Linked DNA regions of Canis lupus familiaris. The protein of the gene in region 1 binds, or shares a complex with, the protein of each later gene. Links are inferred from orthologs where the notes say so. Each region holds a gene or a part of one and is shown in the gene's direction. Other genes may lie near its edges.

Region 1 (4,193 bases):
CACACTCAGGCTTTTCTTGCACGGACACAACTGCCAAGGTCTACAAGGACTTTCCCGGGTCTTTCCCGCCTTACCGTCACCTTTCTAATAATTTCCCAGGGAGCCGCGCGGGGAGGGGCGGGGCTCAGACCCCCCCCAAGCTCCACCCCTCCCCGGGACCCGCCCACCACCCGGGAGTAGGCTTGAGGCAGGGGAAGGAAGGTAGCTTCCGGTCTCGCGATTGGCTCTAATCCCGCGAGAAGAGAAGACGGCAGCCATCGGTGGCAATGGTGAGGGAGGGGGTGTGGCCGGGGCGCGCGAAGTCCCCAGGAGTGAGGGAGAGGGGGCGGGTCGCGCGCACCGGGCGTACGCATGCGCGCACGGGGCGGCCGGGCTGGGCTGAGAGGGGAGGGGGCGGCGGCGGCGGCGGCGGCGGCTGAGGCGGCTGAGGCGGCGTCGTTATTTCCGCGGTCTGGACGGTGCGTGGCGGCGCGGGTGGCCACGGGAGAAGTAGGTAGGGACTGCCGGTGCAGAGCCATTGACTCTCCCTTCCTCCTGCGTCCTAGAGCCGCAGCCCCCCGCGCGTGTGGCGGACCCTGGGGACGCCAGGTCACCCTGCGGCCCCGGCCTCCCGCCGCGCTTCAGGTAGGAGCTGCAGGCTCTCCGGTGTCCGCTGCCCGCCGCCCGCCGAGGCCCCGGCCTTGCCCGGTGTTGCCCGGGCGACGACCCGGCACCGGGCGTGCCCGCCCTCCCGCGCGACGACAGCTCTGTCCTTGCTTCCGCGCCCTGTGGGGCCGGGGCCGGCGCCGGGCCCGGCCGGGCTGACCCGGGGAAGGTGGTCGTGGGGCGGGTCCCGCCTCAGGTGCGCAGCCGCTCTGGGCCGGGCGAGTAGGTGCCCTGCGGGGCGCTCCCGCCCTCGGTGCCCGCCGTGCGAGGCTGTGCGGGGTCCTGCCGGGCCCGGAGAGCTCCGGGCACGTGAGGGACCACCCTGACTCAATAGTTGCCTCGTGGGCCCCGGGCTGCGAGAGGCGGCTCTGAAGAGTGCCTTCCTCATTTGTGTCCGGTGTGCAAAGTTGAAAGCTCTGGAGTTCATCCTGCTTGGGCCAGTGGTGGGGGGGTGGCTTCTGATTTTTTTCCTTGGATGGTGGGAAGGCAAGCTCTTAAAAGCCCTTGTAGGTGCTCGGCTATTAGTAAATAAGCAGCAGTGCTTTTAACGTAAGGTTTAATTGCGTTAAGGTTTTTTTATTTTATTTTTTATTTTTTTTATTTCCCAGTTGCCACTATCAAACTCCGATGAAGTCTGGCAGTTTAGTAAGACTTCCATCCAGGACTTGAGTGAACACACATGGCTTGCAAATAGTCTTGCCCTGAAAGCCACAATCTCTTTTACACCAGTGTTAATTTTATAGGCATTATGGTCATGAAAGCTTCTGTAGAAGATGATGATTCAGGATGGGAGCTCAGTATACCAGAAAAGATGGAAAAAAGCAATACAAGCTGGGTGGACATAACCCAAGATTTTGAAGAAGCTTGTCGAGGTGAGTTTGAATTCTTGGGTTAGAAATTAACAACCTGGGAAAAGGTAAAATAAAATCTTGTGATTTGTAGACTCAAACGTAAGCAACAGGTAAGTGTGGTTTATCAAGTTTGTTAACCACACTTATTCATTCCTTACCCTCTTAATAATTTTAACTTTCATTTAAAGCCAGTATTTGATAGTGCATGAAATACAGATGTTGAAGCAGTTGCTTCAGTTTTTCTAGCCTTAACAGATGAGAGAGTACATGGCAATAATTTCAGACTGTGCAAACATGAATTGTCTTGACCTAAAGATGGTGGACTATTATATGTTTGAGATTTGTAAATAATCAGATCACATTATTTCCTGTCTAAGAGCCTGTAGTGGCTTCCTGTTCAATATAGAATAAAATCCATATTCCATCCCCGTGGCCTGTGTGGTCTGATGCCTGTCTACCACTGACTTCATTTCTGTACCACTGCCCAACTAGGCTCATTATGTTAGTCACAATGTCCTTTCTATGCCATTAAGCTCACCAGGGCATTTTCCCCTTGGGCCTCTGCATATTTCTTTTTCTGTATCTTAAACTGCTTTGCCTCCAGGTCTTTACCTTCACATAGCTGGCTCCTTCCTGGCCAGTTAAATGCTAGCTCCCCAGGGAGGATGTCTCCAAACAATTAATCTAAGTAGATTTAGTAGATTTAGCCCTGTTCTCTTCTGTCCGACTCTACCTCACCTGAATCACTCTGTTTTATTTATTTTTTATTATAATACTTATATACTATCAGAAGCTGTCCTTTCAGTTATTTCTTGTTTACTGTCAGCCCTACCCACTGGAACATAAAGCTCTGTGAGTGCAGACATTTTGTCTGTAAGCCTAACACAGAGAACATTGCCTGGAACATAGTAATGGTTTAACAAATGCAAAGGCATAAATGATTAGAGAAGTGAGCATATTTGTTGTCTGAGGAGAATGGGTCTTAGGGAGAGACAGGAAAGAGACAAATGGTAGAGTGGGAGGGGTGCCTGGGGGGCTCAGTTGTTTAAGCAGCTGCCTCCTGCTCAGTTCCTGTGATCAAGCCCCACTTCAGGAACCTACCTCTTCCTTTCCCTCTGCCCTCCCCATGTGCCTCCCTCCCCACTGTGCTCTCTTGCTCATGCTCTCAAATAAATAAATAAAATTTTTTTGGAAAAAAAAATGGTAGAGTGAGAGATTGAATTTGAAGAGAGGATGGGATAAAGAACATGGTAGAGAAATTAACTTAGGGGACCAGAATGAGGAATTACTGAGACAGGAGGAACTGAGGTTAGGATTGGTGAAGAAACAGGTAGATTTCTAAACGAGTGGGGAGGAATGGTAGAGGGATACACACCCTGATGGCTTCTCTGTTTTTACTAAACTGAAGGTTAAGTCTTCGTTGTTGATGAGATGGAGTGTTTAGAATAGTGCCCTTAGAAGGAGGAGTAGAGACTCGGAGTAGCTGCAGGTGGTAAGGGAGTCAGCTGGGCATAAGCAAAATGATAACACGTGCACTGACCCTTTGTTATGAAACGTGTCCATTTAAAGAAAGCAAAAGTGAAATTGTGGAAAGAATATTAGACTGGAAATTGGGGGATTGCCCATATCCATCTATCCAAGGGAGAGAGAAAGAAGTGTAAGTTACAGTGTAATTTCTGTGCCCAGAGATCTTAAACTGTTGATGGATTATGCCCGTCATCCTGCACTGATTTTTAAGTGATCTATATTAGAGGGTTGTTGTTCTGAACCTAAATGGAAAAGGCTTTATGAAGTTCATATGGCTTGAGTTGGGCCTTAGAGGAGTGGTGGAGTTTCTGTAAGTGAATATGAGGGAATTATTCTAGACTCAGATGAACTGTTACTCTCACCAGAGTTCATGAGAGTTGGATATTTGAGGGAGAGTGAGTAATTTTGCTTCCTCATGAGCAGAACCTTAAATAGGCAATATGGTTTTATTCCTGTCTCAGTGGGGATTGAGGAGGGGGAGCATGTCATTTTGTTGCCAACCTCAAACCATCCTATTAACTTTTCAATAATTAGCTCTTGCTTGGTCTGAAGTGGCACAGATGTGAGGTATATTTGAAATGAAAAAGTTGATGTAGAAGTGATCTTCCTTTACATATAGATTTAGGACTAAAGTCTTTTGGGAGCTCTTGAGCCTATATTATTAATAATTTGTTTTCTTGAAATCAGATTCATAGCATTAATTTAGCTTAGACTCCAGCAGCTTTCTGAGGGCTAAATTTAAAACAAATATTATACCCTGTAACTGTTGCAGTGGTCTTTCCTCTTCAGTAACAGTGCGATGGTATTTGACTAGACCTTGGGGATTATTTATTTTGGTACCGAGAAAGCAATCTGCATAGTGATGACAGTGTTTTTCATGTACATTTCTATCTGTTCTTTTAGTGACTCTTCGAAGTCTTCTGGACCAAATTCTAATTTCATCACTTCTTTTATTTCCTGTTAGGCAGATGGCACACATTCCCTCCACATTTCCTATTTTCAACATTGAGGCCCTTGGCCTTTTTTGGGGGGTAGGAGGGCTTTTTTTCCCCCCTTAAATTATTTTGAATATATGGTGCTATTACTGTTACTGTGCCTGGTATGTAACATGTCATTTATCTAACACTTCTGAGCTTTGCTTCTCTAGGAAACTGCCTAATTCAAACCATC
Region 2 (3,388 bases), on another chromosome or scaffold:
CGTCCCCTATAGCTCCGTGAGGTCATCATTGAAGTAGAGCAGTATGGCAGGTATGTAGAGTGTTCCGTCCATATTGAGGTAATCAAATTCTTCATCCTCATCCCGGATCCCATTCTCTTCCAGGGTATAATCCATGTTCAGTTTCTTCCCTTCGTATTTCCATGTATAGCTGGCAGCATGTGCGTTATAAGGGAGATACCGGTGGAGGATTTCCCACATTGATTCCAGGGCCCCCACCTGCAGAACATGAAAGCACCCCATCCCCCAGGATTTCGGATGGGACACGTGCATGCATCATGTGCATGTCCCACGCTGAAGCCAGGAGCCCAAAAGATGACAGTGCTGAGAACAGAGAGCCTCTCTTTGGTGGATAGCATTTCTAGGCACTTCTCTGGTCCCCAAATGAAGCTGGGGCTCCAGCACGCAGTGAATGACCCCGAAGTGTCACCTGTCTCTAGGGCAGCCACTTTTAACAAACAGATGGCCCTAAAGGGTCAGAGTCAGTGCCCCCTCCCCTCATCCCTTTAACAGAGTTTATTAATAAGAGAGTCCGGCTGCAACTGCTCTCCAAAAGACAGCCTGGAAGTGCTTCCAAGCCACCACCGTGGCTAAGGTGTATGAAGGAGTCTCGGTACCCTGTGATCCGGCCACTACTAGGGTCCCAACCCTGGAGACCGCTCTCCAGGTGGTCCGCCCTCCCCGGTCGCCTCTAAAGATGGGAGGGAAGGGATCCTGCTCCCATTTTCTACGGAGACCCAACGGCCCGAAGATCTCCTGGCAGACTTGCTGGGATCCCCAGTTCCCTCCAACCTGCCCGCAGGCGCCCGTTCTCACCTCCAGCGTGTGCTCCTGCGACGTGAGCGTGTTAATGATGCGGATGCTCCGGGTCTTGGCCGACAGCCGCCCCACCTCGTAGCGCGTCCCCTGCCACCAGGGCTTCCCGAAATCGTTGGCCCAGTCGGAACGGGGCAGCTGAGGCGGGACGTGCAGAAAGCGGCCCCGGGGGGTGCGGTATCTCAGCGTTCCGGTCAGCGGATCTACGTGCTTGCGGATCTTTAAAGAGGGTTGGGGAGGGGGTTGCAAGGGGGAGGGGCAGTCAGCACCTCCGACTCCCGCCACCCCCGCTTCTCCCCCCACCCCACCCTCAACCCGCGGTCCGGCAGGGCTCACGTCTCTGGTCTTCGGGTCAAACCAGTGACTGATGTCCTGGCCCGCAACTTCTATGATGGGTTTTAGCAGCAGGTCCCCTGGGGAAGGAGCAGCCGCCGTCAGGGCTGGCTGCCCAAGCCCGCCCCCGCTCCCATGCACGCCCTGCCCCTGGTCCAGGGAGCGGCCCTCACCCTTGTGCTCCTGAGCCAACGGCGTCAGGTCGTACACGGATCCCAGGTAAGACACCCACAGGTCTTCCGGCAGGTTGTGTTCGGCCACCTCGGCCGGCGTAAAATAGCGACGCTGGAAAAACTCAAAGTCCGGCCCGTCCACGAGGCCCCGGCGCTGCATGGCTCCTGCACTGTCGGCCATCAGCTTCTCTGGTTGCTTCGTCGCCCCTCAGCACGCCCTCACTCACTCACTCATTCACTCCCTGCGCGGCATCTTTCCTCCTAGCGAGCGCGTTGCTCCGCTGACATGGAAACCATTGTCCCTTCCCGGCCACCGTCCACGGAGATCAAACACTCGGGACGAGGGGCCGTCCGTGCTCACGGGAAACGTAGTCTGAATCTAGCTTTCAAGAAACTGAGTTGCGTCCTGCAGAGGTTTGGGGGCGGGGGGAAGCGAAAGCTCCGTGTTCAGAGTGGTCTGGGCTGGAGGGGATATTTAGGACAGACTGTGTCGCGAGGCAGAAAAGCAAGGGACGATGGGGTGCAAAGCGATGACGAGAAAAGATCGTCTCGCTACATGCCAGGATTTCTGAAGGATTTGTATGAACCTAAAGAGGGAAAACTTCTCGCGATATCTTAAGGCATCCGGCGCCGTAGGCCGCAGTGAGCCACAGTGCCGGAACAGTGGGAGAAACTCGCGAGATCTCTGCAGTTGCCCAGGAGACAGGAGGAGGAGGGGAGGTGATCTCGCGAAAGAAAAGAGGTCGGGAGCACTCGCGAGATCTCGGACCACCGGACCCAAAAGGTTCTTAGGAAGTTGAAGGGCCCGGAGCCGGCCCCGGGGCAAATGGCCGGAGCTGGACCAGCCATGCTGCTACGAGAAGAGAATGGCTGTTGCAGCCGGCGTCAAAGCAGCTCCAGCGCCGGGGTTAGCGCGGGCTCGGGTTCTGGGATCGAGGGCCAGCCGGGGAGCAAGATGGGGGGGACGGAGGGGGAACTGCAGCTCCCGGCAGCCCCCGGGCTCCGTGTGAGCGCCCCGCGGGCTGTCGGGAGCTGTGGTTCCGCGGGAGGGCGGCCGCCGGGGCTGCGCCGTCTCAGCGCGTGTCCCGCCCCGCGCAGGACTCAGACGGGGAGCGCGAGGACTCGCCGGCCGCGCGGGCCCGGCAGCAGCTAGAGGCGCTGCTCAACAAGACTATGCGCATTCGCATGACAGACGGTCGGACCCTGGTCGGCTGCTTCCTCTGCACCGACCGCGACTGCAATGTCATCCTGGGCTCGGCGCAGGAGTTCCTCAAGCCGTCGGGTCAGTGCCCGAGGACATCCTCCCGGGACTGCGGCGGAGTCCCCCGGTGTTCTGGGGCGGGACCGGCTCTGGCCTACCTCCCTGATGCTCTGACCTCTTCTTTGCAGATTCCTTCTCCGCGGGGGAGCCCCGCGTCCTGGGCCTGGCCATGGTACCCGGCCACCACATCGTCTCTATTGAAGTGCAGAGGGAGAGCCTGGCGGGGCCTCCCTATCTCTGAACACGATCGCGCGTGCTTTGCACACCATTAAACCTGTAACGAAGTGCCTGGTGTCCGAGTGTGGCTGGGATGTCGGGAGCACTCTCAACTCTCCTTTGCCTACCTGGCCGTGTGGGGCAGCCAAAGGCTCCCTCCGGTTCGGGGGTGGGGATGCACTAAGGACCAGCAGGCCCCAGGGTGGGCCCCTCCATCTTCCCTCCCACGCTGCTGCTCCAGAATTGTGGCTGGAGGGGGTGTCATCCTGCTCCGGAAGGCCCATTGTTTCCCTTCCCGGCCTGGCAACACCCGAGTTCCTCCAAGCTGGGGTCAGAGAACGGGCTCGGGTCCCCAAGGGGGAGCAGGGCAGGCGACAGAGGCCTCTATTGAGGGGGAGGTGACTCTAGGGTCAGGGACGGAGCTCTGGGGTCTAGCCAGGAAGAACGGGCTAACGCGATAAGGGAGGCGGGGAGGCTGAAGGATGCGCTCTGGAGCCCTGGCCCCCCACCCCGTGTTGTTTCCTGCCTATGGGCACCAGGCAGGAGTGACAGGACGTGTGCAATCCCTCTG

The links. The genes of interacting proteins can lie anywhere in the genome.
Region 2: the proteins of NAA35 (region 1) and NAA38 are in contact, whole or in part, in a cryo-EM structure (PDB 7MX2), measured with the Homo sapiens proteins. The link is inferred for Canis lupus familiaris from reciprocal best matches to the Homo sapiens genes NAA35 and NAA38. Residues at the interface, in NP_001308810.1 of Homo sapiens: Val30, Asp31, Ile32, Thr33, Phe36, Ala39, Cys40, Leu43, Leu45, Glu47, Leu48, Leu49, His50, Asp51, Phe54, Glu58, Ala59, Ala62, Ile63, Glu64, Met65, Met66, Ala72, Gly73, Met74, Gln306, Arg307, Leu309, Pro310, Pro311; in NP_001307854.1 of Homo sapiens: Ala41, Arg42, Leu45, Glu46, Leu48, Leu49, Arg61, Phe67, Leu68, Cys69, Thr70, Asp71, Arg72, Cys74, Ile77, Arg97, Val98, Leu99, Gly100, Leu101, Ala102, Met103, Val104, Pro105, His108, Ser111, Ile112, Glu113, Val114.

What each region holds. Positions count from the first base shown.
Region 1 is NC_049222.1:74,346,405-74,350,597, reverse strand, and holds the start of NAA35 (N-alpha-acetyltransferase 35, NatC auxiliary subunit), read left to right. Parts: upstream 1-1,393; coding exon 1,394-1,517; exon of another isoform or gene 1,518-1,551; intron 1,552-2,871; exon of another isoform or gene 2,872-3,005; intron 3,006-4,193. UniProt on the Homo sapiens protein: Auxillary component of the N-terminal acetyltransferase C (NatC) complex which catalyzes acetylation of N-terminal methionine residues. N-terminal acetylation protects proteins from ubiquitination and degradation by the N-end rule pathway.
Region 2 is NC_049226.1:32,918,778-32,922,165, reverse strand, and holds NAA38 (N-alpha-acetyltransferase 38, NatC auxiliary subunit), read left to right. Parts: upstream 1-1,161; 5' UTR 1,162-1,170; coding exon of another isoform or gene 1,171-1,247; 5' UTR 1,248-1,302; coding exon 1,303-1,386; coding exon of another isoform or gene 1,387-1,521; exon of another isoform or gene 1,522-2,166; coding exon of another isoform or gene 2,167-2,247; exon of another isoform or gene 2,248-2,438; coding exon 2,439-2,622; exon of another isoform or gene 2,623-2,729; coding exon 2,730-2,842; 3' UTR 2,843-2,888; downstream 2,889-3,388. Other genes in the region: CYB5D1 (cytochrome b5 domain-containing protein 1), read right to left, coding at 538-1,053, 1,171-1,247, 1,341-1,521.